4 linked regions of the Astyanax mexicanus genome follow. The main gene of each other region encodes a partner of the protein of the gene in region 2 in a complex. Links are inferred from orthologs where the notes say so. Each region holds a gene or a part of one and is shown on either strand. Other genes may lie near its edges. The genes, in order: ints1, ints4, ints11 and ints2.

Region 1 (6,849 bases), on a different chromosome or scaffold from region 2:
AGATGTGCAAAACTGTCTGTATCTACGGACAAGGTGCTACTTTGAAGAACGTAAAGTATAAAACATATTCTGTTTTTTTAACATTTTTAGTTTCTAAAAAATTCTATGTGTTTTTCTTCATACGACTTAAGTATTAATCTACAATACACTGAGTATGAGTGATGGATCCAAACTTTTGACTGGTACTCTATGTGTCATGTGCCAGTATCTATTTAATTATCTTTATTTAAAGAGGTGTGCATAGACATTTGGACATACAGTGCATCTCCAAATGCCTATGGCAACAGAGATATCCAAGCATTCACAAATGGTACAAAGACGTGGTTTGATTAATGTGATCTCAATGAATTAATGTGAAATGTCTAGTATAACATCATTATGCACCATTTATTTTTTTACATTATTTTACTGCATTTAACATAACTGAGGTTGTGGAATCACCACCCAATAATTAAAAAATTAAAACATACAGCCAAACTATTTACATCAATTAAATTATATTATCCTAATGTCAATCTACAAAAAAAATTCACTGCTTATTTTATCACTCCTTCGATATATTCAATATATTATATCCAGCACTCTGTGTTATGTTGCTGTGCTGTGTTGTAAAGCTAATTATGTAGTCATGATTTTTTTTTTTTTTTTTTTTTTTTTTTTTTTAAATAATGAATATTCTGTTGGAATTCTGGGATAGTTTAGCTACTTGCAGTTCAGACTACAGTTCAGACAGTTCATGTGGAATGAGGTGGATATTTCAGTTTTAGACTCATTGAATGCAATAAAATGCAATAATGCAAATGCTAGAATGCCTCACCCTCAATAGGCACAACAGACGGCTCCTTGATGGAGGGAGATATTGCCCGTTTGTCAACAGCAGCTACTTCAGCCAGTCGTGAGAGAGCGCTGGGAGGGGTGGAGGAGTGTTTCGGCCGTTTAGCCAGGCTGGACAGGCCTGAGGAGGACGGCAGAGCTGAGGAAGCCTCTCTCTTGCGGTCTGCCGGTAAACCCGCAGCAGCTGGTTTCAGCAGTGCTGGATTCGCCTTGGCCTCACTGGCCTGGCTCTTAGCCCCCAGAGCTATGAAGTCTCCTGGAGGAGGATGACCTAAAGAGCAGCAGAGGAGATCATTCAGTATAAATGTATAACATACAGACTCAAAACACTCACTACTTCTTACTGTATTTGCATAACTAACTCATATCACGTACCTGATGTTTTGGCCCCGCTCGGGCGCCTGATGCCGGTTGGCTTTGGTCGATTCATGACTTCAGTATGATGCTCAACTTCTAAGAACTGAAATACAAATAAACATGTATTACATGACAATATAGTTTCGTAACATTAAAATGGAGAATACTACAACACTAGGAATAGTACATGAAGCACCCTTCAGAGCACTGATCACCCGAACACGATGATTATCTGAACGACTCTGGAGAGTTTAAAGCAATAAAACTGGAGAATCAGAAGTTACATCAGAAAATAATAAGCTGAGAGGGGATGCCAGACACTCTTCTTTGGATTAATGTGGACATGCATGAACAAATACCTTGTCTTTGCAGACCCTTATTAAATTGTTGCAATAAGCTCTGCAGGTGTTAGTCCAATATTTAAATTATATTTGATTTTAAGAAGAGGTTTCAGACCCAAATTCTTCTCAAAACTATAATAAAAATGTGTCTCGGATAGGAGGCAGAGTATTCATAACTTTGTAACAGTGTAATAACTCTTACTATGAGGAAGATTTTAGAGATTCAAAAACATCTAGAAAATGTTACTTAATACAGGACACTTTACTTGCATGACATTTTAATCCGTTAATCCAAGAGTTGTGGACAACCTTATTTATCCTTCAGCAGTATTTAATGTCACTTCTTATTTTTCCATCAACACAACGTATAATTCAAAGCTTATTACTTAAAAATACATTTTATGGAAATATTTAAAAAGTACATATGTGTTTTCATAAAGTAAATGAAATAAAAAAAATACTTTTAGTATTGTTTACCCAATTTGAACATACTTTTAATACTCCTAAGTATAAATCCTTTTTACAAGAGGTGACTTGATATATTACATATTTAGAGATGACAAAGATGACGAATATACAGTCCTAAGTTCTAGACCTCCTCTTTATTAAGGAGAGTTTTTAGAGGTGCAGAAACTAACATACATCTAAAAACTTACATAAACACAGCAGAATTTATATTAACTTATATTAGATCTGGCAAAGCAGATTTGGCAGTTTTTTTCATGGGCATAACCCACATATTTAGCTCTGCTGCTCATCTTACAAATTAATGTTCCTTACAAATGTTGTTTTATTTCAAATAGAAATTAACAGGCTTTAAAAATGTATAAGATGTATTATATAAAGGAGCAGTTACAACAAGGAAGTACCAAATCTAACTAACAAACTCAAAAGCCCTTGCTTTTTGTGGCATGTTTACATTAGGTAGGTTAAGAGTTTAGCTAGCTTAGTTAGCTTAGCCCGTTTTGCTGTGTGTTTGCTGGGATATTTGGCTATAATACAATTTTAACAATAATGTGCAGCTAGTTAATAGTCTGGGTGTTGAAACATAGATATATTAGCTAATAATTAATCATATGGCTTATATTAAGTGTTTAAGTCTGTAGAATAATCATGCTAACGCAGCTTAGCTTAGCTTAGCTAACCTAGCTTCACTGTAGTAGGTTAGTTCATTGAGACGTTAGCTAGGTTAGCACTAGCATTAGCATTAGCAGGAGTTTCCAGCACAATACTGTAGAATAAGAGCCCGTAACACAGCTAAATTCCCACATTACAGCCCTGCTCCACTTATTAATAACTCAATACAGATTCAGAGCTGCAGTTAATATGAAATAATCAGTAATTTTAATAATAATAACTCACTCTGTCTCAGAGCCGCTCCTCCATCATAACAACAGCGCTGTCTTTAATCCAGAGCCTGAGAGCAGCGAGCAGCTACCGGCTACCGGCTACCAACTACCTCCCCCTGCTGATCAGGAGCTCCCCACACTACCGTATACAGGTGCATCTCAAAAAATAAATAATTATCAGTGAAAAGTTGCATTATTTCAGTAATTCAGATCGAAATGTGAAACTCCTATATTAAACAGATGTATTACACACTGAGTAATCTATTTTAAGCCTTAGAGCCAATGAAAACCCAAAAATCAGTGTCTCAGAAAATTATAATATTATAGGAGACCAACTGATACGTTTGGCAGTGTGCCAAGTCCTGCTGGAAAATGAAATCTGCATCTCCATAAAAAAAGTTGACCAGCAGATGACATGGCTCTCCAAACCATCAGTGACCATCAGTAAATTTTACATTTCATATTTCATTTGGAAATCAAGGGACCATGTGAGGAGATGTGGATTTCATTTTCCAGCAGGACTTGGCACACTGCCCACACTGCCAAAAGTACCAATTGGTCTTATATAATATAAAAATTTTCTGAGACACAGTTTTTTTTAAATCATCAACACTATAGGAAATACACGCTTAAAATAGATCACACTGTGTAATACATCTATATAATATATGAGTTTCACATTTTGAACTGAATTACTGAAATATAGTAATTTTGCTGGACAGTCAAAGCCCCAGTTTTTACTTTTTAATTAAAAACTGCTAAAATCAAGCAACATAACTATACTATACATGCCCTTGTAAAATATAAGTGTATTAAGTATATTTTTTAAAAGTATCCTTAACATGAAAAAGTACATACTGTTTAAAATTAAATACTAAATGGACTATTTTGAAACAAATTATTGCAACTTAAGTATATTTCAGTTGTAATTAAGCTATATTTAAATACAACATGAAAGCATTAGATTGTGCTTTTGAGTGCGGCTTTTTTTATATAACTTCTGCAAACTTAAGTAGATTGAAGTATGTGTTTTTAACACCTTTTTAATGCACTTGAAGTATATGGTAAATGTACTAATTTGCATATTGATGCACATATTGTGTATACCTTAATGACATTGGGAAACAATTGGGGAAAATACACTAAATTGCACTTTAAGCAGTATTTAATGCCAATATGTTTTCAGTCAACACAGCATATAATTGAAAGCATATTGCTTAAAAATACATTTTACAGAAATACAGAGAGAGTACATATGTGTTTTTTCGTAAAGTATATGAAATAAAAAAATACTTTTAATATTCTTTACCTAAATAAAGCCAACCCTTGTAAACAGGAATTATATTAAGAGTATTAAAAGTACTTTTAATACTCTTAACTATAATTCCTTTTTACAAGGGTTGGCTTGATATTTTACTATTTATTTGGGCCCTGGTCATTTGGGTGCTATTAGAGGTGCAGAAACTAACATACATCTAGAAACTTACATAAACACAGCAGAATTTATATTAAACAGAGAAAGTATATTAAATTAAAACATGTACTTTTAGTATTCTTTACCTGATTTAAACATATTTTTAATGCTCTTAAGTATACTTCCTTTTCACAAGGGATGGCTTGATTACAATATATTTTCATGCTGTTTCCAGAGGAGGATTACTGAGAAAACCCATAAACCCCACCCTAAACACCCCACCACACCCCATCTCCTCAGTAAACAGTGGTGTGTATTGCTGCCCCCCTGAACTAACTGTTCCCTACTGCTGTTTTTACCAAACGTTAGTCAGCAGTGCTCTGATTCCAGTTGATCAGCTTAACCTCCTGCTGAATAAACCATGACTGGAGCTCTTCTGGAGACACTGAATTAGGCTGTTTTCTCGAGAAGCCGAAGAGTCACAAAAAAAGTCACGTTTACTCTGGATTCTTCTATTTTTTATATAATTAACAACACACTAAGAAAATTACGTACAGCAGCCTCATACGCCAGTGTTTCTGGTAAACGGAGCAGGGCTGGGTGGCACTGTTGCCACACTGGAACACTCTGAGAGCTGCGAGGAACGCGGCTTCCAAGAATCCTCACATTACAAAATGATGTCAGGCATGGAAACAGACATTACATGTGCCTGCCAGACAAAAGAAAACAGAACTTTCACCCAGAAGAGAACACCACAGAACACACATACACAGTAAAGGCCCTGCTGCTCAAAACAACATGTGCTGTAACCTGATCCCTGGTGTGAAAACACACACACACTCACACACACACTTACACACACATACACACACAGGCCTGGCTACAGTGGCATGTATACTATATAGCGGTAATGTATCCCTCTGTCCTGCAAAAGCACAGAGAATGGGACTATCCTTTTGGCCTTTTCAGTGACAGCCTTAATAAAAGCCCCCCAATAACATCACCATACTGTGCGTCCGGTCTCCCGTTACACTACATTACCAAGAGATGACCACAGCACAGTTTCCCACTCCTTGTAGGCCTATTCTATCAATGAGGAGGAGATATTAACCCTTAAAACTCTGTGGAGAAGTTTCACTGAGAGGGATTAAAGGAAAACTCCGGTGTAAAATGGACTTTTGATGTAGTAAAACAGCTCTGTTCTCCCACAGCGTTCAGAGATCCAGAAATTGTAACAGTTTGTCCCAACACCCTTTAGACTAGTTGACATGGGGCCTAATCTGCCCCGATAAATCGATTTTCCCATCCTATAACGTGAGCTTCAGCTCCGAGCGCCGCCATCACTGAACTAAAAAATAACATAGACATACATACAAGGGGTTGGACAATGAAACTAAAAAACACCTGTCAATTTAGTGTAGAAGGTTCCATGGCAAAATTGGAGCAGCCTGGTGGCCAATCTTCATTAATTGCACATTGCACCAGTAAGAGCAGAGTGTGAAGGTTCAGTTAGCAGGGTAAGAGCACATTTTTACTGAAAATATTGCAATGCACACAACATTATGGGTGACATACCAGAGTTCAAAAGAGGACAAATTGTTGGTGCACGTCTTGCTGGAGCATCTGTGACCAAGACAGCAAGTCTTTGTGATGCATCAAGAGCCACGGTATCCAGGGTAATGTCAGCATACCACCAAGAAGGACCAACCACATCCAACAGGATTAACTGTGGACGCTGTAAGAGGAAGCTGTCTGAAAGGGCTGTTCAGGTGCTAACTCGGATTGTATCCAAAAAACACAAAAAAACACGGCTTCCCAAATCGTTGTTGGAGAGAGCGCCATCTACTATACCCACCCAGATAAAGCATGGCTAACTGTGCTCTCTCGAACTCAGGCTGCTGATGTCGAAGCATCAGGGATTCAAACAGGCAATCCTTGGATAATAGAGAGGTATACAATTCAGGTTCTCTGCCTGAGCCCCAGCACTTTCCTCGGGCCCTGAATGGATCAGGCTCAAGAAAATAGTCTGAGATTTTGTTTTGTTTTTTTATTTTATATAAAGTTATGGCGTGATAATAACAATATAGCATTATACCGGAATTCTTAATGAACAGAATTCTTAAATTTACATTGCATATATGGCATTTAGCTGATTTACAAGGTTATTCCTATTACAGAGGTGGACCAATGTAGTGTTAGGAGTCTTGCCCAAGGACACCTATTGGTGTAGCAAAGCATTAAGTCACCCAGACCAGGAATTGAACCCCAGTCTCTCATGTAATTTAGTAGCTCACAAGCAGGTAGTGGTGTTAGCCACTGTGCCACACCAATAGGCCTGTTCTTCCATGTTGCGCTGTTCACTGACATCATACTACACAGATTTTTCTCATTAAAACAACTAGGAATTGTAGCTAAAAAGCTCAGTTTTTAATGCTCTAATTGCTAAAACAAATGTTGGGCTCTTAATAACAGTTTATGTGGAGGGTCGGGTTGGGCGCGAACAGAACCTGCGCAGGCTTGGGTAGGGCTGTTCTGGATTTTTTGGCCCGATCTA
Region 2 (7,001 bases):
CTAGTTTATGAGGTAGATGTAAATACTTTCAAACTCATTATTTTAAAGTCCTTACAGCTTCCTCATCTGCTGAACTGCCAAGGACAGTAGATACAGATCCCTCCCTCAGACGAAGTCTGCTGGCTAATTCTGCAGTGTACTGTCTGAGGTGAAATGGCATTTCTTCAACTGATCTAGTGGGTGGGGCTCTGGTGGGGGTCAACGGGTGAAAGGTGGTTTCCTTAAGGTGACGTTACAATATAGGAGAAGCAACCAAATAGCTCATAGACGTTTATGATTCCTGAGACCAAACTCAGCTGATTCACAGAAAATGGATGGATGGATTTTTTTGGTGCTTGGAGTGTTTATAGGGGCTGAGTTTTGCATTTGTTCCTTTTAATATGTTGCATAAGAGACTAGCAGTCCATTTCCTTCATGAATAATTATCAGTCCATCTACGGAAATAACTTACTGTCATTATTAAGGGTGCTTATAACATCATCCACAATGCAGTCGGGGGAGAATCCAGGTGTTTTGGAGAGCAGTCCAAGCAATGAAGCAATCTTCAGCCTGACCGAGTTATCTATTTCCTGTTCAAAAACATATTTATAAAATAAAAGTATCACATTAGCAAGAATCCAGAAATCAAAACCAAAAAACATCACAATGTATATGTACATAACATCTCTGTTGTATATATATAATAGGATGTGAATCACAAGGGATTGCATGATATGATATTACGATAAGCTGCACACAATAAAGATGGTATCACGATACTGTGATTCTGTGATATTCAATATATCACAAGACAATTCTCTACAATACTTCACAGCATCTGTGTCACTGAAGAGGCTAGAATATTCCTAAAATAGTAATAGGGAGCGAGTCTAAGTTTACAGCACAAAGAGCGCCTTTGTTTCAATAAAAAAATAAATTGTATGTTGCGTATTTATAATGCATCGATGAATTGTCACATCCATAATACGCAATGTCATAATCCTAAATCTGATCAGTTTCCACTTTATTTCTCTATAATCAGCTGTGCATTTTAACATGGCCATGCAAAAATGTCTTACTTTTAAAAGAAGTCAATACTGATGCTGGGAAAATTGAATTTGATAAAGTTTTATTTAAAAATCTGCAATTTAAGCATTGCACGTTATAATTCTATTGTTACACAATTCTACCCGACTCACAACACACACTTACTTTGTAATAATGCTCCAGAAGGATACGAACTACACCCTCAACACTTTCTGCCTCCACTGGCTTACGGGCGAAGCTGAGGAGATACTGCAGGGCATCTGTGGGGTTGGTGGCTTTGCACAGGTCAATATGAAGAGCTGCAGATTTACTGGGTTTGGTCAGCCGGAGCTTCTTCGCCGGTACTTCTTCAAGAAGCTGTTGCTTAAGGAAAATTGATAATAATACAAATAATTTAATGACATAAGTTATATTAACCCTAGGAATAAAATTATTGTTTTAATACAATGATTTTCGAAATGAGATAATGATTATAATATATATTTAGATATAGAAGCGGAAGAGAGACATTTGACTCTGTTAGAAACCTTTAAGTAACTCTTATGTGTCAGCGATTTTCATATTTTACACTTTTCTTTCACTAAAATATAAGATTGTGTTTACACTTTTTTAATATAAAAGCCGCATGAAAGGTTGAAGAGGGCTGCTTACTATTCAGATTTGTTTTATTAAATGAAAAAGAAATGCTGCTGTCTGTTTCCAAATAAAAACTGAAATTATGTAAAAACTAAAGTGATTATTATTTTTTACAGTATTGCCCATCCCTAATTCATGTATACATATAAACACACAAAAGGTACAAAAGGGCAGACCCATATTATCCCTTGTAAAAAAAAAAAAAAAAAAGAAGTATACTTAGGAGCATTAAAAGTATGTTCAGATTAGGTAAATAAGGTTAAAAGTGCATTTTCTATTTAATATACTTTCTGTATTTCTATAAGATTTAGTTTAAAGCAACATGCATTAAATTATACGTTATACAAGTATATATAATCAAATATATGTAGTGGCATTAAATGCTGCTTAAAGTGCACTTTAGTGTAGTTTTTCCCCCCCAAAAGCATATGTGCAGCAATACGAGAAAGTAGAACATTTACAACATACTTTAAGTGTATCAAAAAGTATGCTTTAGAGACACAAATATACTTAAATCTAATTAAGTTTGCAGACGTTATTAAAAAAGGCACTTAAAGCACAGCCTAATGCTTTTTGTTATATTCAAATATAGCTTAATTACAATTAAAATAAACGTTTTATATACGTGAACGTATTTATTTTAATGCTAAAAGTATGTACTTAACTTAGCAGGCATAATTTTAAAATATATACTTCTTTTACAAGGTAACGTTAAGTCTTTTTCATTAGAGATGTAGGACATTATTTAAAAGTAATTTCCTTCTTTTTGTAACCTTAAACAGAAATATTATTTCTTTATTTGAAGGTATACCTGGTAGCTGCATAGACTTATTTATACTAATGGCTGAACTACTTAATATAAACTGTCTAACGTTATGTAAACAGTCTCAAACACAGTGTTTGAGTAATTATTAGCTTGGTTTGGTCTTTTTAATAAATGTATAAGTTTATAAGCACTCCTGGCGTGTTATATTAGTTACATATCAATACATTACTGAGTAAAAAACACTAAAAAACGCGTAAAAACTCTTAAATAAAGAGAAAATAAAGAGTAGTGGAGACTGTAGTTAATGAGCTGCTGATTAAAAACACCGGCGCGCGGAGCAGCATTAGCCCGTTAGCTAATCGCTCCAGCCGGCCTGCAGCAGCGCTTATCTCGGTGTAACTCTGAGTAATACAGTGTATTTCTGATAAACTGAGTTTTATTTACCTGAACTACTTTAGAAAATTCCTCATAAACCCTCTTCTTCAGGTGAGCAGCCATTTTAACAAACAGCCACCGCCGGGTTCGCCTCAGCGCGCTCTGTCTGTCCCAGCTCGCGCTTCTTCTTCTTTGTCGAATTAATGGCAGCCAGCACTCCTGTCATTGGTGCATTACTGCCACTTACTGGATAGAACATGAAATGCTGAATTCTAAATCCTATTAAACAGCCCAGATAATTTAAGAAATTTAATCAACTTATATGTGTCGTGAATCATACTATGTATAGATAGATTCCCTACTGCCCGAACTCCTCCAAACACCTCTTCCCTTTGTATATCATATGCCACACACTGTATTAAGACATGTTCTATAGTCTCTGGTTGAGAGCAATACAGACAATTGCCATCCGGATGTTTACCAATTCTGAACAGACTCTGATTCAGTCCACAATGTCCTATACGTACCCTAGTAAGTACCAACTCTTCCTGTCTATTTTTACCTCTAATTATTCTCTGTCCTACTAACCTTTGAAACTTATAAAGATGCCTTCCTTTTTGTTCCCCATCCCACATACCTTGCCAAGTCCTAGTTACATATTTTTTAATGAGCAGCTTAGCCTCCTGCCTGCTTAAGGGCACTGAAACATTAATAAAGTCCAGCGTAAGGGCTCGCTTTGCCAACATATCAGCACATTCATTGCCCTCCACCCCCACATGAGCTGGTACCCACAGAAAGCCAACTGATAAACCCAAATGCTGTAACCTGAGAAGGATCATGAGGACGTCATAAATAATGTCTATCCTTGATGACTTTTGACCGTTCGTTAGGCTTTTCAAAACAGTCTGAGAGTCAGAACATATTACTGTTCTCAAGGGCCGTACATCCTCGACCCAGAGCAAGGCCATCATAATGGCCACCAATTCAGCTGTATACACTGCCACATAATCTGACACTCTCCTAATAAGTTCCGTCTTAAAGGTTGGAACATACACTGATACTCCAGCTCTTCCTGAATCTGGATCCACAGATGCGTCTGTATAAATTTTGAGGTCATATTTATAATAGAGATCTAAATATGATAGTGTTACCTGATCTTTCATCACCTGCTTCCCATGTTTCTTAAACTCATTTTGCAATTTTAAGTCAACTTCCGGCATTGGAAATAGCCAAGGAGAAATTGGTGCCGCAATCACAGTTTTACATAAACAGAGACTTTCCAGATTCATTTGCCGAGCCAATTCACCCGCTATCCACCCAAAACTTTTACCTCTGCTATCACCATGTTCCCAGCAATCCCTTAAAACTATATTAGCAGGATGATCTATATCATGCCCTTTTATTCCCACCCAGTAGGACATGGCTAACTGCTGACGTCTAAGGTCCAGCGGTGGTTCACCCGTTTCCACTAAAATCGCTGGGTTTGAGGAAGATCTAAAAGCCCCACAGCATACCCTCAATGCTTGTAACTGAACTTTATCTACCTTCTGCAACACAGTTTTTGAGGCAGACCCATAAACAACACTACCATAGTCTATTGCTGCACGAATGAGAGAGAAATATATCTGCAGTAGCGCCTTCCTACTTGCACCCCAGTCCAGTCCAGCTAGACATCTCATTACATTAATACTATGTTTACATCTTGATACCAATCTATTAATGTGAGACTGAAAAGTTAGTTTACCATCCATCCATACCCCCAAATACTTAACTTCTGAGACCTGTGTCAAAGTCTGACCATACATCTGTAGCTGAACATTCGGAACATTTCTCATTTTAGTGAAACAAATTGCCTGAGTTTTATTCACTGAAAATTTGAAACTCCATTTAAATGCCCAGTTTTCTACCGCATTGATGGCCAATTGCATTTTCTTCTGGACCTGCCCTACATTACGGCCTCTTTTCCACAAAGCCCCGTCATCTGCATATAATGACTTTCCAATTCCTGAATCAACCATAGAAAAAATATCGTTAATCATTATATTAAATAATACAGGACTACAGACACTACCTTGCGGTGTACCATTGTCCACAGAATAAATTGCAGAGTAACTAGCACCTACTCTAACTTGGATAGACCTCCCAAAAAGAAAATCCCGAATCCAATTGAATAGTCTACCACCAATTCCCATGTTATACAGCTTAACTAAAAGACCTTCTTTCCAAATCATGTCATACGCTTTTTCAATGTCAAAGAATACTGCCATGACAAACTCTTTGGATACCTGAGCCTTCCTTATGTCTGATTCCAGGTATAATACAGCATCTATAGTGCTACGACCTTTCCGAAATCCACTCTGGTAAGGAGACAATAATCCCCTCCTCTCTAGTTCATACAACAAACGTCTAACAATCATTTTCTCCATAAGTTTGCACAGATTTGAAGTCAGAGCAATAGGCCTATAACTAGATGCATGTGATTTGTCTTTCCCTGGTTTTACTATAGGAACTACCACACCATGCTTCCAAGAATTGGGTAGGCTTCCTTCCTTCCATACTTTGTTAAATAAAGCTAAAACACACTGAAGAACTCTATCTGATACATTCCTCAACATAATGTAGCAGACCTCATCTTTCCCAGGTGCAGTCTGCCTAGCTGACTCTAATGCCTGTTTCAGTTCCAGTAGACTAAATTCGACGTCCAAAGGGTGTCCACCATCCTCACATCTCGTAATAATACACTGATTTAGCCTATTCTGCTGTTCCCTGTACAACCTTGCGTCTTCAGTTAAATTATTATTACTATGAATCGCAATAAAAGTCTTTGCTAAAATCTCAGCTTTTTCTCGGTCCGACACTGCTATCTCAGCCCCATGCTTCAGAACAGGGATACTACAGTCAACCCGTTTACCCCCCATTTTCTTAATCATACTCCACACATCAGCAACAGATGTTTGTCGTCCTAAAGAAGAACAAAAATCCCTCCAATACTTTCTTTTAGCCTTCCGAATAACATTCCGAGCTACTGCTCTTGCCTTTTGAAACTCAATTAACAATTGAAAGGTATGAAGGGACTTCAGAGCTCGAAACGCTTTACGCCGACTTTTAACACTCGCTGAGCACTCAGACGTCCACCACGGAACAACTTTCTTTCCCTTCCCACTGTTCGTTTTCCCAATAGCCTTGACTGCAGACTTACACAAAAGATTCTGAATCTTATTATTAAAAGTCTCCACATCATCCTCAAAAGAAATCTCATTAACCCCAGCCTCACATAAATCCAAAAACATACCCCAATTTGCTTTCCTAAAATTCCAACGTTTTACCTTCTCTATATCATGGACTAGGTCCAGACCTATTCTACACCAAATTGGAGAATGGTCACTACCCACCAGGACATCCTGCCTAACCATCCAATCAGCTATCCCAGCCAAATCACCAGACGTCAAGGTCAAATCTAATGCAGAAAATTGCCCCCGTGCCACATCAAACCTCGTCCCTTCACCTGTATTAAGACACACCAGGCCAGTACATTCTAACATTTCTTCCACCACCCTACCATTATGATCAGACTCCTTGCAACCCCACAAAGTACTGTGTGCATTAAAATCACCACACCATATAAATCTATGATACCCTTGGCCACTCACTTTTTCAAGAATATCCAAACTCAGTTTGTCACAAGGATTATAAAAATTAACAATCCGCACAAAACAGGAACCGACCCATACATCCACCATCACACTTTCAAAGTCTGCATTCACCTCTACTATTTTATAACTCAAATCTTGTTTAATAAACATTGCAACCCCCCCTCCAGAGCCCGTCACCCTGTCCCATCTGACAACCTCATATCCTTGTATCCTATAATCCAGACGTGGGTTTAACCACGTTTCCTGAACACATATAACACTAGGTCGTTCATTGCTACTATTAATATATTGCTTAAAATCCAAACCATTTGCAATCAAACTTCTCGCATTCCATTGCAGGAGAGTAAGGGCCACCATCACATGCCACTTACAGACTGTGAAGTAGCAAACTGCGACATTAAGGACTCATTTAGTTGGTCAACTGTTACACCTTCCATAGCCAGATGTTTCTCGGCTGCCCTAAGAATAATCCTAATCCTTTCAGTTCTGCTATCTGTTTGCGCTGAACAGTTAACTACTTCCACCATAAACGCGAGAAATTTAAC
Region 3 (7,442 bases), on a different chromosome or scaffold from region 2:
TGAAAGACTTTAAAATATTTTTTAAATCCAATTCCGACATCTAAATATTATTAGAAAAACAGTCTGAATAACTAAATATATAAATATAAAAAGGAAAAACAATGCTTACCCTAAGTGTCTGTCTGGGGTCATGTTATAATCCCCCTGTAGGACAAATCACATATATTAAATTATACATGTATTAAAAAAAAGAGTGTATAATATTTCCACATGCTTTTATTGAAGCAGAAAACAGTTATAGTATTATTACTCACAGTATAAACCACAGACTCCGATCCGACTTTAATCAGAACCATCGCCGCCCCCAGAACATGACCGGCGTAGTACGCTTTAATCTCCAGCTCATCGTCCACCTAGAGCACAAAAATAACAACAACACCAGCGGCGTTTCTGTCTTTTACCAAAAACCTCCGGGACATAATCAAGAGAAAATTCTGCTGCTCATTTTAGAAACTTCGCATGAAACAGAGGAAACACACAGCGAGGTAAACAGGCTGAGGTGCTCTAAAGTCTGGATCTACTCACACTCTGAAGAAGCCGTGCCAATTTCATCTAAATCAAATTCATTTATTTACATGTAAATACCCATTAATAACCGAGCTGGCCAACAACGTCCAATAGACGTTCATTTCAGGTTGAATGTTGGTCATGACGCCAAACGACAAATATTTTACGTCAGGATAAAGTCTAACAGTGTTCTGTGCCTGCAGGGAAGCGCTTCATAACCGTGTGCACTGTTTGATATTTGAACTCAAGTAAATAAACAATGCGATAAATATATAGCTTCCTTTAATATACTGAGCAAACAATTATTAACCTTCAAGAAGTGCAGACTAGTACGATGTAAGAATCTTTTTAATGATGCGCAATATTAGTTATAGAAATTATGGGGGGAAAAAATCTTTATTGATTAAAGCGACTTGCCGATTGATGAACAGTGTGTTTAGTTACTCACCTGGACGGTCTGGTGGAGGTTGAGTGGAACCACTTTCTTCATGCAGTCTTTGATCATCTGAGACGTGAAGAAGTTTGTTTCCCCCTTTTTGTCCACAGTGATTTTCCTGAAGTCCTCCAGCAGGATGGGACAGATGGCCTTGGTGGGATGGGTCATGTAGATGGGTCCGTCGTATCCCACCATCTCACTCATGTAGGGCAGAGCGCCGCAGTGGTCCAGGTGGAAATGACTGTGAGAGATCAGCAGCCAATCAGAAATCAGTTCATCAATTCTTTAAAGCAGTGCTGTCAATGTTCTATTTTTTAATGCAGATGCAGAACTTTCAGACCTCAAATAATGCAAAGAAAACAAGTTCATATTCATAAAGTTTTAAGAGTTCAGAAATCATCAATATTTGGTGGAATAACCCTGGTTGGTTTTTAATTACAGTTTCTTTTCATGCATCTTGGCATCATGTTCTCCTCCACCAGTCTTACACACTGCTTTTGGATAACTTTATGCTGCTTTACTCCTGGTGCAAAAATTCAAGCAGTTCAGTTTGGTGGTTTGATGGTTTGTGTTTTTACCTGATAATAACACAGTCCAGAAACTCTGTGAGGCGTCCGTTCTGCGTGATGTAGGAAAAGTCTGGGAAACGTCTCTAAAGAGAAAAAAACAGCAAAAAATAAATGAACTATGGAAAAACCATATCAATTTACTGTAGTAGTCAAAAGTTTGGACACACTTTACATGTTGTGTTTTATCATTACTTTAATTTCCTTTATTGTAGATTAACAATAAACTCATTTAAACTATAAAGAGAAACATCTGGAATTATTTAGTAAACAAAAAAACTTAAACAAACCAGAATATGTTTTATATTTAAGATATAACATTTTCTCAGTCAGCTTTATGTTCAGTTCCAGTAAGTTTCAGTAGCTTAACCTACATCATCATTATAGCCCATGTGCATCCCACAGTCCAGCATTATGTTCTTTCCTCCAATAGAAACCAGGATACAACTGCGCCCAACATCCTGCCCAGCTCCTACACACACACACACACACACACACACACACACACATATTAATACTGAAAACACAGACTTTTTAACTATTATTACAGAATTACTGAGATTATAGGATTCAGAACACGAACTGTATCCTAGTAAATTATACAGTTTCAGCTCTAATCTATCAGTCAATCAATCAATTAATCAAATCAATTATCCTTTATTTTAACTCTGGAGTACATTGAGGGTGACCCTTATTTACATTGCAGCCGAGGATTTACAGTATAAAAGGGATTGAAAACATTATATAAAAAAATTAAAATTTTTAATACATAAAATAAATACACACTTCAAATAAATACATTTAATATAAATGTATAATATATTAATATATACATATAAAAGAGGGAAATCTAAATAAAACGACCATAAAAAATTAACACACAAAAAGTGAAAGCATTTATCAAATTTAAAATAAAGAAATTCATAAAAATAATATAGATAATAGAAATAAAAATAGTAAAAGTAAATGATAAAATAAAATAATGAGTAATAAGTGACAGAGTGATAATAGTAGAAGGTATAATAAAGAACTAAGATCATAATAATCCAAATAAAACCTAAATAAATGAATAAAAAGTAAGAACAATAAACAGTACAGAAACGCAGCTTACCCAGCGGAGTTACTTTAATGTCCGGCATGATGAAGCTTCAGGAGCTTTATGAGCTTTAGGAGATTCTTATAATATTAATATTATTATTGTAGTTCTGGTTTATTTACTGTAACGTTAGTTTATGCTACAGATGAGAAGCTAACCGGCTAACCGGCTAACTAACACACTCTTATACTGAGCTGCTAGTTTACTACATACTGAACGCTTCCAAATTCCCCTCTATATTAAACACCATAAACACAATAAACTACATCTAAATAACTCAAATCACGCTGTTTACAGGCGGATAAACTGATAAAAAACATATAAATTTAATTTAATTCAACATAAATGTCTCAAAACTAAACAGCGGACATGCTGACTGAACCCGATTGGTCCGCTGACCTCCAGCCAATCGTCCGCTTCAAAATTGAGCACGTGATGTAGCAGCCTGCTTGATTGGTGAAAATGCCAAAGGACTTTTAACGTAGGAACAAATATTATTTAAATACATTACATTATACATTATATAAATACATATATTAAATGTCCATATTATAAAAAAATATTAGAATTTAGTCTTAGAATATCGAAAAAGACATGTAATAAACAAACAAACAAATAAGACGTATGATAAAATACAAGATAATTTGTTAAACTAAAGAAAAAAATACAGTTAATGTACATATATTTTATATATTAACTATCATTATTATTAAAATTATGGATAACCTAATAACAAAATAATATCGCTTATTTAATTTTTATTCAACATAAAAGTCCCCAAAAATAAACCACAGCTCAAAACGGCGGAACCCGATTGATGCACTGACCTCCAGCCAATCGCTTGCTTTAAAAGTAAGCACGTAATATAACAGTCTGCTTTGATTGGTGGAACTGCCAGCTCTGGTCTTTAGGTATCCGGAAGAGTGACTAAATACTTAACCGGCTGCGTCCCAAACCAACGCTCCCAGAGGGTGCACACTGCGCAATCTACAACCCGGCTAAATAAAAGTCTTACCAAAAAAACCGTAAGAAAAACTATAAGATAAATTACTATAAAAATCTAATAAAACTTAAAAATATAGTTACTATATAGAAACAAACAAACAAACAAATACGATTTCAAAAGTAAGAGAAAATTTCTTATTATATACATTATATTTTATTTATTATTATATATAAAACACATTATTCATATTTATTTATTTTTTTATTTTACAATATTGTTATTTTTTATTTATTTTTTATTTCGTTTAGCTGTACTTGTTGTAACTTTGGGAAGGAAAGGAATGTAATTCCAATCCTCTGTATGTCCTGTACATATGCAGTATTGACAATAAAACTACTTGACTGTATTATTAAAAATTATCTTGACCATAGTTTCACAAAATAGTTTCACAAAAAAATAGAAAAATAGATAAAGATTAAGAAGTGTTTTACATCGTCACTTTCCGTTCTTGAATGCTCACTTATTTTCTTTTATTGTAAGTGAAAATAAGTATACATTTAGACAAAAGTATTAATTTAAAACAATATATTACAACGCTCAAAATGCTCAAACATGTTTTTTATACGTTTTCAAAAGCAAATAAATTTTAAATTGTATTATTTTAAATGACTTGTTTTTAAAAAAATATCAATAGGTTTTGAGTAAATACAAAATCTACATCTGACTATTTTTTTGTTTCGGTAAGTCCTTTAATCTGACGGGTGGAATTCTGAGCACGTCACTGAGCGCCCTTGGTAGGACACAGGGTGTGATATTGGAGCGCAGCCGGTGAGCAGACCGGGTTAGTAGGTACAGTAGAATCAGATCAGGCTGATAAACTCTGATGTTTTAATCTGTAAAAACTCCTAAAGTTTAATATCCTGAGCTCGTATCTCCACTCAGCTCATCCGCAGCTGGTTTAGTAGCAGATCTGGATCATGGCAGAGTCGTTTAGTTTACAGAATGTATTGGACACCTTTAAATCCAGCCTGAGTGAGAATAAGGAAATATATATCCAGTATTATATAGCAGGGTGGAAGGAGCTGGTCAGGTATGGGACAAACCTCTTTTTTCCCTTATTTCTTTATTCTACAGTCTGTACAGTCAGGATTTTAGAGCTTTATTTAATACTGTATTAAATATAAACTGTTTATATGATCAGTATAATATTAAATAATAAAATACTTATTTACAGCTCTGAAAAAAAATAAGAGACCACTTAAAAATCAGTCCTGAGAAAAGGTTATATATATAAAAAAAAAAATCAAACTTTAAAAAAGGGACAGTGAAATCATGTTAAAGTATGTTTTGCTTTTGTCTTTTACATTTTACAGGAACTTAAACCAGCAAATTTATTAAAAATGAGAGAGAACATAAAAATTATGAGTTTCTATGATTTTATCAAATAAAAAAAAAACTCTGGAATAAAATCAATATAATCAGATGGATGATCACAAGCTGATCATCAAACCACCAAACTGAACTGCTTGAAATAATTTTTGCACCAGGAGTAAAGCAGCATAAAGTTATTCTATTACAACATGTAGTCCAGCAGCCCCAGACCATCACACTACCACCACCATGTTTTACGTTTAATATGATGCTGCTCTTTTTATGAAATGATGTGTTGGTGTTTTAAAGTGTTAGTGTATGTGTTTTAAACTTTTCTCATTTTTTTCCTTAGTACACAAATTCATAATTTATTATCATCATTGCTTTTTATATTTACTCAGGTTATGTTTGATATTTGTCTGATATTAAAGTTTGTTTGATAATCTGTTGATTATCTAAGTATGTAAGTAAGAAATCTGCACTGTAAATCAGTAATAAAATGTAATAATTCGTCTCCTCTCCTCCCTCCAGCTTCATGAACAGTCTGGGAACCGTGTTCTCCTTCATCTCTAAGGACGCGGTGAATAAAATCCAGATTCTGGAGAATCTCCAGGCCGGCGAGTCCGGCTCTCACTACCTCACGGTGCAGTCGATGGTGAAGTATGAGCTGGAGAACGAGCTGGTGGACCTGACCAAGAGGAGCAGTCACCCGGAGTCGGGCTGCCGGACGCTCCTGCGTCTGCACCGCGCTCTGCTCTGGCTGGAGCTGTTCCTGGAGCGTCTGCGCACCAGCACCGAGGAGAGCAAGACCTCCGTCATGTGCTCGGACGCCTACAACGAGTCTCTGGCTCAGCACCACGCCTGGATCATCAGGAAGGCGACGGGCGTGGCTTTCTGCGCCCTGCCCGGCCGGGACTCCTTCTTCCAGGTGATGAACGCAGGCAGTGAGCAGGAGGTGGTCGCCCTGCTGGGAGAAGCTTTAGCCCTGATCTCAGAGGTGCATCAGATCACAGAGGACCTGTACGCCCAGAACAACCTGCTGGAGCTGCCCTAGATATAGCAGAAGACGCAGCAGTAGATGATATACAGTAGTTTGGACACACCTTCTCTTTTTCAGTGCGTTTTCTTTATCTTCAGGACTATTTACATTGTAGATTCTCACTGAAGCATCAAAACTATGAATGAACACATGTGGAGTTTTATGTACTTAATAAAAAATGAGCTGAACCTCCACAGTCACCGGACCTGAACCCAATCCAGATCCAGGTTTGGGGTGAGCTGGAGCACAGAGTGAAGAAGACAAAGGAGCAACAAGTGCTAATAAACACCTCTGGGAACTCCTTCCTTCCTTCAAGACTGTTGGAAAACTTTTCATTTCAGGTGGCCACCTCTTAAATGAAGCTCATTGAGAGAATGATGCCAAGAGTGTGTAAAGCAGTAACCAGAGCAAAGGGGGGCTTTTATTTTGAAGAAACTAGAAAAACTATAAAACATGTTTTTTTAGTTATTTTCACCTTTTTTATTAAGAACATAAAACTCCACATGTGTTCATTCATAGTTTTGATGCTTCAGTGAGAATCTACAATGTAAATAATCATGAAAATAAAGAAAACGCATTGAAAAAGAGAAGCTGTGTCCAAACTTTTGGCCTGAACTGTAGTAGATAGTGTAGTAAAATGACTGTGTGGAATGATGCTGGTTTTATTTGGCGCTACTACTGAGATCTTGGATCTCATCTCATATCGTATAATGACTATATTAGGCTGTTATCACTTTATACACTTATCTCTCTTTCTTTTTGACCAAACACATGGTTTCATGGCGACGGTCAACTAAATGCTAAAACTCAATACCAACAGTTTTTCAATAATCATACAGCTCTGGAAAAAAAATAAGAGAGCACTTAAAAATGATGAGTTTCTCTGATTTTACCAAATTAAAAACCTCTGAAATATAATCAAGAGGAAGATGGATGATCACAAACCATCAAACCACCAAACTGAACTGCTTGAATACATTTTTGCACCAGGAGTAAAGCAGCATAAAGTTATCCAAAAGCAGTGTGTAAGACTGGTGGAGGAGAACATGATACCAAGATGCATGAAAACTGTGATTAAAAACCAGATTTATTCCACCCAATATTGATTTCACCAAATATTGATTGAGGTCTAAAAGCTCTGCATCTTTTTTTTCTTTTTCTGCAAATAAATGCTTTCAATTACAAAATTTATTTTATTTGGAATTTGGGAGAAATGTTGTCCATAGTTTTTAAAATAAAACAAAAATGTTAATTTTACTCAAACATTCAGAAACTGATGTGCTCTCTCCATTTTTTTATCCAGAGCTGTATAGATATATAGTTTGAGTAAACAGCGTGAAAGACTACAGCAGCAGTAAAACTGTACCAATAGAAATGCTTTTGAATGCAGTTGAATTCCATTGAAAGCTAGGGAGGTTCTTTTGGGCTTCCAGTGGCTCAGCAGCCAGAGTCCGAGCGAGCACAATGCTTGGTCGTGCTCT
Region 4 (7,978 bases), on a different chromosome or scaffold from region 2:
TGATTTTATCTGTTTTGTTAGAAAAGATTAAATCAATCAGGGTAGATTTGGAGGTTTTTTTTAGGTTTGGCTGGGTTGACTCAGTGATCAGCTGTGAGAGGATGAGATCTTGTATCCATTAATTTTAAAAAGCATTAGCAGCTACAGTAAAAGCAGATTTACAAGTAAGCATATTTTACTTGGAAATTCCAGAAAGTACTCAGAAAGTAAACTGCAGCTACAATATCTACCTGCTTGAAGGATGCAGAGGACATCGGCTACCTCTTCCAGGTACACAGGACTCTCAAATAGCTCAGAGGTCTTTAGAAAAAACTCCCCATTGGAGTCAGCTACCTGTATAACAAATAAAACTGATTTGATTAGATATCTTGGATGATATAATCAGTTAAAGCTGTTGTATTCAATTATTAATATTATGCTGTTTGATCCATGTTTCCCCATAGCTCTAGAGAAACAGAATTTTACTCCACTGTATACTTGAACTCAGATGTAATGAGCCTCTCTACGCTTGAAATAAAAATGCACAAGTGGGTTGTTCATGTCCACACAAAACATTGACATAAGAACCTTGTTCATGATGGCCAGCAGCTCACTTAGAGACAGTCTGAGTCTCCTTAGTGGGTCACTGTGTTCAAACTCCAGTGTAAGCCCATGCTGCAGCTGGGAAACAAGGATACTCTCGCCATTTGACCCTCCAGCCTTATGCCTGTAATGAGAAGACAACACTTATTTAAATGGTTGGTGTGTTTTTTTTGTTAACAAACAAAAACATCTAATTAGGTAACACTTCCAATGAGAACAATAGAACAACCAGGGAAATGTGAAGTTCTATTTTTTGGACAATCGATACTATTATAAATATATACTATTAAAACACAAGGTCTCCAACTGTGTCCTAACGTACCACATTCAGGTTTTCCAATCAATTTTCCATAAACAAACCTCATAGGAATACTGCAAACCAACATGGACAGTGGAGAAAGTGTTTAAATGCAAAACTATTTTAGAAAGGCCTTTTACAATTCCTAAAGCACAATTTTATTCATCTAAACAGGAATGCATGTTTTTTCATCATTCATCATTCATGTACACAGGAAACTATATAGCCCCAGAAATACCCTAGCGTATTAAAATGTTGATGGGTCCTTGGGGATTCACCTGAGTTGCTGTTCTTTCCTGGCATCCTGCTCCAGGGCATGAAAGTCCACAGAAAGCAGTGCCACTATGGAGTTCACTGCCTCTACACCGGACAGCAGGCGCAGGATGAGCTTCTTATCCTGTGCCCAGGCATTGCTCTGGTCAGCAGGGGCACACAGTGCCATCCTCACCAGGCATGGCAACAGAAGCCTCAGCTCAGGATCACTCAAAGCTGCAAGGCGCATCACGTCCACCTTCTGCATGGCCTCAAAGGCATATGGGCTCACAAACTGAAGCCCTGAAGTTTCTGTCATTCTGCTCTGCAAAAGGAAACACAAGTTCACAGGGAAGTTACATGATCATCACCAACACTAGAGATTAGACATATCCAGTTAATTTGGCAAATTTTTAGCTGCATTCACACGTTTAGGTATTTTGCATAGTTATTCAATGCAGCGAGTTTTTATAACTATTTTAAGCCTACAGATAACGTGTCCATGTGGCTTGGGCAGCCCAGTTGAAAACCAGAAGAAAATCGTTGAAGTGATACAACCAGGAGGGATTAAACATGGGCCCCATCGTTGTTGTACACTGCACTGGTGCCTGTAAACAATAAAAACCAGCACAAACCCACTCAGAGCCCATGCCCACCTGAAACCTACCCAACCAGCCTATGTTCCACATGTGAAAGTTGACTTAATGTAATAAACCCTGCAGCCTAAAGTAGTCCACCAAAAAAGGAATCAGTCAAAGCTAACGCTACATAACCGAGCTAGGTTAAGTGGCTAGCTTGCTAGCTAACAATAGTAAATATAGAGAGCAGTAATTTTGCTAGTTACCTAACTAAGTGCGTCATGTTTAGTAAGTACTCGTGGTTGTGCAACTAAAATGAACTAAAACCATTTGCTTAAATGCGCAAACGTTATTCTTAACCTCGCTGAAGTCTGAAGTGAAGATAGCTAGCTAGCTAGTAAGCATAGCGTTGGCTGGCTAGTTAGCTAGCTCAGTCCAACACAAACGATAGTGGTTAACTACACCAGTTTTTAGCTACCAGGCAGCTGTGTGCCACGCTTCACTAGAATATTGTTTATGTAACTGAGAACTTCTTACCTGGAACTTTACAGCAGCTTGTAAAAATCTGAGAGACTTTAGCGAGGCCCGGGCAGACAATGCCGTGGCACCTCAAGCCGACACACTCGGCTAACAAGCTGGCTAGCAGTGAAAGCCATTCAACGAGATCCGAACCGTTCACTTAGCTCATGCACGTTAGCGAAGCCTGAAGCTGATCTACAGTTAACGAACCAGATTATTTAATTATTCCTAAAACAAGTAGCGTTAGCTAGCCACCACTGTTTATACTTCTATTAGTTTAAATTCTTCTGCGAAGCGCTCAGTACCGACTAGCTTGTTCTGTGAGCTGCAGCGCAGCGGATGGCCGGGCTAGGAGGCTAACAAGTACAACACAAGGCTAGACCTCGGGAAATAAAGCACTCATGTTCTGCAGATGACCTCGGTTAGCTAACCGAGCTGCAGTGGACGTTTGGAAGTTTGTAAACCCCTTTCATACATTGTGCACACATATCCTATGAAGCAAATCAAACAAATGAGAAATCTATTTTATTCAGGGAAATTGTTCAATATTACATACAAGTGCATTAAAAAATAGAATATAATTAAATTGTTTATTATTTCCGTATTTTAGTTATCTTTTCATTGCGCTTATTTATTCAACTTTTAATGTTGATTAGCTTACAGCTAATGGAAACTCCAAAATTAGAACAGTTACGTTACGTACGTCGTTTTAATGCCATACCAAAAAAAAAACAGTTCACTTCACACACTGGCTGCGTCCAGCAACTTTTGCTACTCCTCTCCTACCCAGAAGAAGGTGGAGGAATGGAGGGAAGGAGCTGTAATTGGGGAAATGGGACAGCTGATCCCTTTTAGATAGGATGTTGACCACCTTTGAACTGAGCCAATCACAACGCTCACTTTCAGCACATGCCGGATACTGCCCAGCCAATCACAGCTTCCGCATACAAAAATAAAAACGAGAAATCAATAAACACAATTCCAAATTCTAGAGATCATAACTTTGACAAGCATATTAAGCTTTAAAAGTACAGCCTGATGAAGGTTGCATATGTAAATATTAAATTATTTTAATAGTAAAATGTGATTACATTGAATGTAATAAAACAAAAAAACTAATTAATAAATAATAAATATAATAATAAATATATTTTTCATACATGTGGAAATGATGTGTATATTTACAACAATATGTTACATATAGGGTCATTAATATAGTTTTACTGAACACACAGCTTACCTAAACTAAACATTTTATTACTGCTTTACTGGCTGTTTAATTAGACAAGGAACCTAGTTAATTAATATGCTTATGAAGTACATTTGTGCGTTGTCTTCTCCATTCCCGCGTGCTCTGTGGGCGTGGATGCAGTGATGTCATTGGAAAATCACTAAAAGTCTTCCGGAGTAGGATGCACTGATGTAACCTCTGTTGGAAGCCTATTCGAGGCAGATTTTAAGCGGCTTCTTTCGTCTCCTACGGTATTCGGACAGGCGGCAAGATGGCGTTACGAAATCAGTTTCCGGGTCACGGAGGAGAGGAGGAGGACCGGTAGGAAAAAGGAGACACTTTTGGGGTTTCTGGACGCACGAGGCTGAAGTTAGCTTCTTATTCGCCAGTGTCTTATTCAGATTTCCGTTCATGCTGGCTGAACATACATGCGGCCGCCTGTAGATGGCGCATTTTAACAGTAAAAAACAGCATGCAAGCAAAGCGCTGTGCAAACGCTCTGAATAAAGGGCAGAACACATTGCGAAGTGGAATAAAATATGAATAAAATTAGATGATATTAATTAAAACGTTATAGCTTTCACTTTTGGCCTAATTCCCAGGCCATTATCTCGTCAGTCTTAAGTCGTCTAGAAAACTATCATACCTAATACACACTAAGACTGTCAAAATCCTAAAGAAGGACAAATATTGCTGTGGATTTTTCCACACTCATTTATTTTTTAAACTAGTTGAAAAACACTGATCAATTGAGGTATATTGTTCAGCAGCTTTATGTGGTGTCTTGTTGCACTCTAGTGGTCATTTGAAGAAACAACTCCAGTTCTTAAATTGGAAATAGCCTACATATAGTGTATAAGTTTTGACCTGATTGGTTAACATTCAGCCTGTCAAAAGCTTGCTGGAATGTGAATGTGGCTAATAGTGACCACAAAAAATGACATCAATTTTTCCTTTGTCGTCCCATTAGTACATAGACAATAGATGATAATTGCCAAGGCTGAACTTGATAGCTTGTATGGTTCTAGAGAAAGAGTAACACTCCTGTGGTGTATGTCTGGATAAACTGACAGGGTATCTGAGAATCATGTTATGATCAAAGGACTGAAGTGGTATTAATGTTAATAAAGTTGTAAGTGTTAGAAGACATTTTGCTGCACCATGGAAGGACTAATTTGCATATGGCGGACATATTGTTTATAAAGTTCAATATTTTTAAAATAATTATTAAGGCTTTTGCTTTGCTGAGCTGTTTGACACCAAACATGTCATGATTGGTCAATGAGCCAATGAGAAGTTCTCAAAAGTATGTTTTGCATACTATGCAAATTTGCAAAAAACCTAAGTGGGTGGAGCACAACAAGAATGACCAATGTGGCTGACCAGCATGACCAAGAAGGATAAAGATGTTCAACCAGCAAGACCAGCAAGTTCAAATGAGCTAGAGAGTTCAGCAGAGCTTTAATTTAAAATTAATAAATTGCAGTTGTTTCACCAAATGACCACCAGAGTGCAGCAAGACACCATATAAAACCTGCTGAGAATCTATCCATCTGTGAGAGAGAAATATGCTTATCATTAGATTTTTAATGATTGTAGAGAAAAGTCCGATTTGGCTCAACATTATTAATCATGATCAGGTAGTCTGTATATATATGTTTAAGCTTTTGTGTTGATAGGGTCAAAGCTGAGGTCTTTTAGTTTTGAAAATAGCAATACATTAGGCCTCAAACCTTCACAATCACAGTAGATTTTGTGGCCTTTTATAGGGAAAAAAATCCAATATGACTTAAAATTGGGAATCAAGATCATAATATCAGTGTATATATATGTATGTAAATTTGTATGTTAATAGGCCCAAAGGTTCCTGTCTCCTGTCCATTTAGGTTAAAAAATAGCGATAAATGGTAAAAATGTACAATAGTTAATTTGTCAATGTAGAGCCTCCTGAAGACTCACTTAGCTCATACTTGGCACATGGGATTGAAATGTCATTGTTTATTGGAGTCTTCAATACTTTTGACATGACATAAACTTTGACAGAGTTTCACGTACCTGTTTGATCAAGGTGTTGGTGCCACAAAAAGTTAAAATCTCAAGATTTTTTTTGATAATTATTTACCTCTCAAGATTGCAGCAAGGCCAATGCTGATTTACTTGGTTGAATATTCAAAGTTTCGAAAAGTGTAATTTTTACACTAATGGCCACAGATGAAAAACAATGCATTTTTGGTAGAAATATGTAATTACAAAGGCTTCAGCAATGCATAAAAATCAAAAAGAATAATATGCTTATGCTACAAGTATATTCTGATTTAACTGATTTTCTGCTATAGCGCCCCCGAGAGGCCAATCAATTCAATACTTTAATGGATGATAGGAGGCCCTTATTTACATAAAGACAATAAGTTTCGTCGTCATTGGTCAATGTTTAGCCTGTCAAAAGCTTGATGGAATCTAATAGCGATCACAAAAATTTTAATATCAAATTCTCTCTGAGAGTACCATTAGTAGATAAGCCCTCACTGGTATTTGCCAACTATGAGCTTGGTAGCTTGTATGGTTCTTGTATGGTTTTCCATCATTGGCTCCGCCCCTTGGGGGCATAGGGGAGACCGGGTATGAAAGTAACACTTTTTGGAAAACACCCCAAACTACCTATTTTTAAAAAGGTACAGATATGAAACTTTTTGACAAAGCACCCACATTTGTCTACTACAAATTATAACCATTTAAATGTCCTCCATTATATCCCATAACTTGTCAGATCATGTCAAATACAGAGTGTTCTTTTGTTACAATCATCCCACTACCGGGGTAGGTTGTAACACCTGCCGGGGTCAGTTGTAACAGATAAACAAAAATACAAAGAAAACAATGGAACTTCATTTCATTTGCCAATTTGTTTACTTATTTATTTATTTTATTTATTTACTCATTTATTTATTTAGTGCTAACCAAAAATTCAATTGAATTTGCTCAAAAAAGGACTGACATATCCAACACGTGGAAGGTCCTTTGAGCCCTGGTCTTTTAAAACCTTGAATTTTTCTGTAGTATCTGTACAAAGTGACTGATTGTCCGTTCTTAACCTCCTCTGCTGCTCTTTCTAGAATTTTGGCATCCACTCCTCTTTCTGTTTTCCTCACCCATTCTAGGCATTCTGGAGAATTAAAATCACAAAAAAAACTATAATGTTAATGCCCGGGGATGGTTGTAACATTTCCAAAAAGTCTTGTTACAACCTACCCCACCCCTGTCATTCTTTGTTTAGCTAGCTAAATAAGCATGGTGCTTTAACATTAGCAAGAGACAGTTACACCATTCATTACTCCATAAACTGTACTTTCACCTGATATAACACTTACAACATTAACAGCAATTGCAAAAGACAAAAAATAAAAAATAAAAATACTTTATCTCAGAATTTAACTTTTCCTTGTAGTTTGAAGATAAATGATGTCGGTGGCTTGAACATTTCCTTGGACTATCGGAATGACAGTCTCCCCTATGTCTACATGATTTGACCAGGTACCTCAAAATCATGCTAGTAGGTCTGAAGTGGGTTTACTGTCAGGTTAAGCATTCAATGTAACTGTAAGAGTTAGTTTGGCTGTGCCATGGTAATACTAATTTGCATATGACGAACATATTGTTTGCAAATTTTAACTTTTTTGATAATTATTAAGGTTTGTACTCTGCCGAGTTGTTTGACATTAAACATGTCAGGATTTGGGACTAGTTTGCCAAAGTAGGTTTTGCATATTATGCAAATTATTAATTGGGCGGAACCTCATAGCCTAATAAGCCTAAAAAAAGAATTTTGTCAATAGAACCTATGGTTCAGGAGTCAAAACTTAAACGGCTTTGCTATAGTGCCAATGAAGGTATGCTTTAGTGGTTGCGTCATTTTACACCTTCACACTATAGCACGTAGTTATTACGAAAATAAAGACGTAACGAGAATAAAGACGTAATATTACGAGAAAAAAGTTGTTATATTTTGAGACGTAATATAACAAGAAAATAAAGTCCTAATATTATGAGAATAAAGACATAATATTACAAGAATAAAGACGTTATATCACGAGAATAAAGACTTAATATTATGGGAATAGACGTAAGAAATTCTCATAATATAACATTATTTTCGTAATGTAACGTCTTTATTCTCGTAAAATTACATCTTTATTCTTATAATATAACAAATTTGTTCTTGTAATTATTTTGTCTTTACTCTCGAAGTGAACTGTTTGTTTTTTTGGTATGGCCCTAAAACACCATATGGTCCATTCCACTGATTGGGTGCCATTTGCTTGTTTTTTTTTTTATCTTTTTTAAATCTCTAAATCTAATAACACATATATATTCAAAACATGTACTGGTCATTCTTGTGCAGCTTTTTTTTTTTTTTTTTTTTACAAAGTTCGTAAGAAATCTGTTTCATAAGAAATCCGGTTGTGACCCTGTCATTGGCTGCTGGGAATAAACCCTGCCCATTAAGGTCATTCCACTCAC

Evidence for each region.
Region 1: ints4 (region 2) and ints1 share a complex: the UniProt entries of both Homo sapiens proteins name them as parts of the integrator complex. The link is inferred for Astyanax mexicanus from reciprocal best matches to the Homo sapiens genes INTS4 and INTS1.
Region 3: the proteins of ints4 (region 2) and ints11 are in contact, whole or in part, in a cryo-EM structure (PDB 7BFP), measured with the Homo sapiens proteins. The link is inferred for Astyanax mexicanus from reciprocal best matches to the Homo sapiens genes INTS4 and INTS11. Residues at the interface, in NP_291025.3 of Homo sapiens: Leu159, Asp161, Thr162, Arg167, Tyr203, Gln207, Asp244, Ser292, Gly294, Trp296, Arg299, Lys323, Met326, Ser327, Asp328; in NP_060341.2 of Homo sapiens: Pro183, Trp191, Lys194, Asp212, Gln288, Gln400, Gln404, Lys462, Met465, Ala466, Leu469.
Region 4: ints4 (region 2) and ints2 share a complex: the UniProt entries of both Homo sapiens proteins name them as parts of the integrator complex. The link is inferred for Astyanax mexicanus from reciprocal best matches to the Homo sapiens genes INTS4 and INTS2.

What each region holds. Positions count from the first base shown.
Region 1 is NC_064410.1:57,377,586-57,384,434, reverse strand, and holds the start of ints1 (integrator complex subunit 1), read right to left. Parts: upstream 3,008-6,849; 5' UTR 2,895-3,007; intron 1,295-2,894; 5' UTR 1,265-1,294; coding exon 1,210-1,264; intron 1,106-1,209; coding exon 818-1,105; intron 1-817. UniProt on the Homo sapiens protein: Component of the integrator complex, a multiprotein complex that terminates RNA polymerase II (Pol II) transcription in the promoter-proximal region of genes.
Region 2 is NC_064416.1:5,384,285-5,391,285, forward strand, and holds the start of ints4 (integrator complex subunit 4), read right to left. Parts: upstream 3,007-7,001; 5' UTR 2,927-3,006; coding exon 2,873-2,926; intron 1,390-2,872; coding exon 1,192-1,389; intron 570-1,191; coding exon 452-569; intron 1-451. UniProt on the Homo sapiens protein: Component of the integrator complex, a multiprotein complex that terminates RNA polymerase II (Pol II) transcription in the promoter-proximal region of genes.
Region 3 is NC_064420.1:440,160-447,601, reverse strand, and holds the start of ints11 (integrator complex subunit 11), read right to left. Parts: upstream 3,017-7,442; 5' UTR 2,649-3,016; coding exon 2,621-2,648; intron 1,982-2,620; coding exon 1,884-1,981; intron 1,596-1,883; coding exon 1,522-1,595; intron 1,185-1,521; coding exon 956-1,184; intron 354-955; coding exon 255-353; intron 145-254; coding exon 110-144; intron 1-109. Other genes in the region: ceramide-1-phosphate transfer protein, read left to right, coding at 4,529-4,641, 5,454-5,976.
Region 4 is NC_064427.1:13,883,724-13,891,701, forward strand, and holds the start of ints2 (integrator complex subunit 2), read right to left. Parts: upstream 3,026-7,978; 5' UTR 2,933-3,025; intron 2,655-2,932; exon of another isoform or gene 2,248-2,654; intron 1,458-2,247; exon of another isoform or gene 1,453-1,457; 5' UTR 1,452-1,452; coding exon 1,159-1,451; intron 707-1,158; coding exon 568-706; intron 334-567; coding exon 231-333; intron 1-230. UniProt on the Homo sapiens protein: Component of the integrator complex, a multiprotein complex that terminates RNA polymerase II (Pol II) transcription in the promoter-proximal region of genes.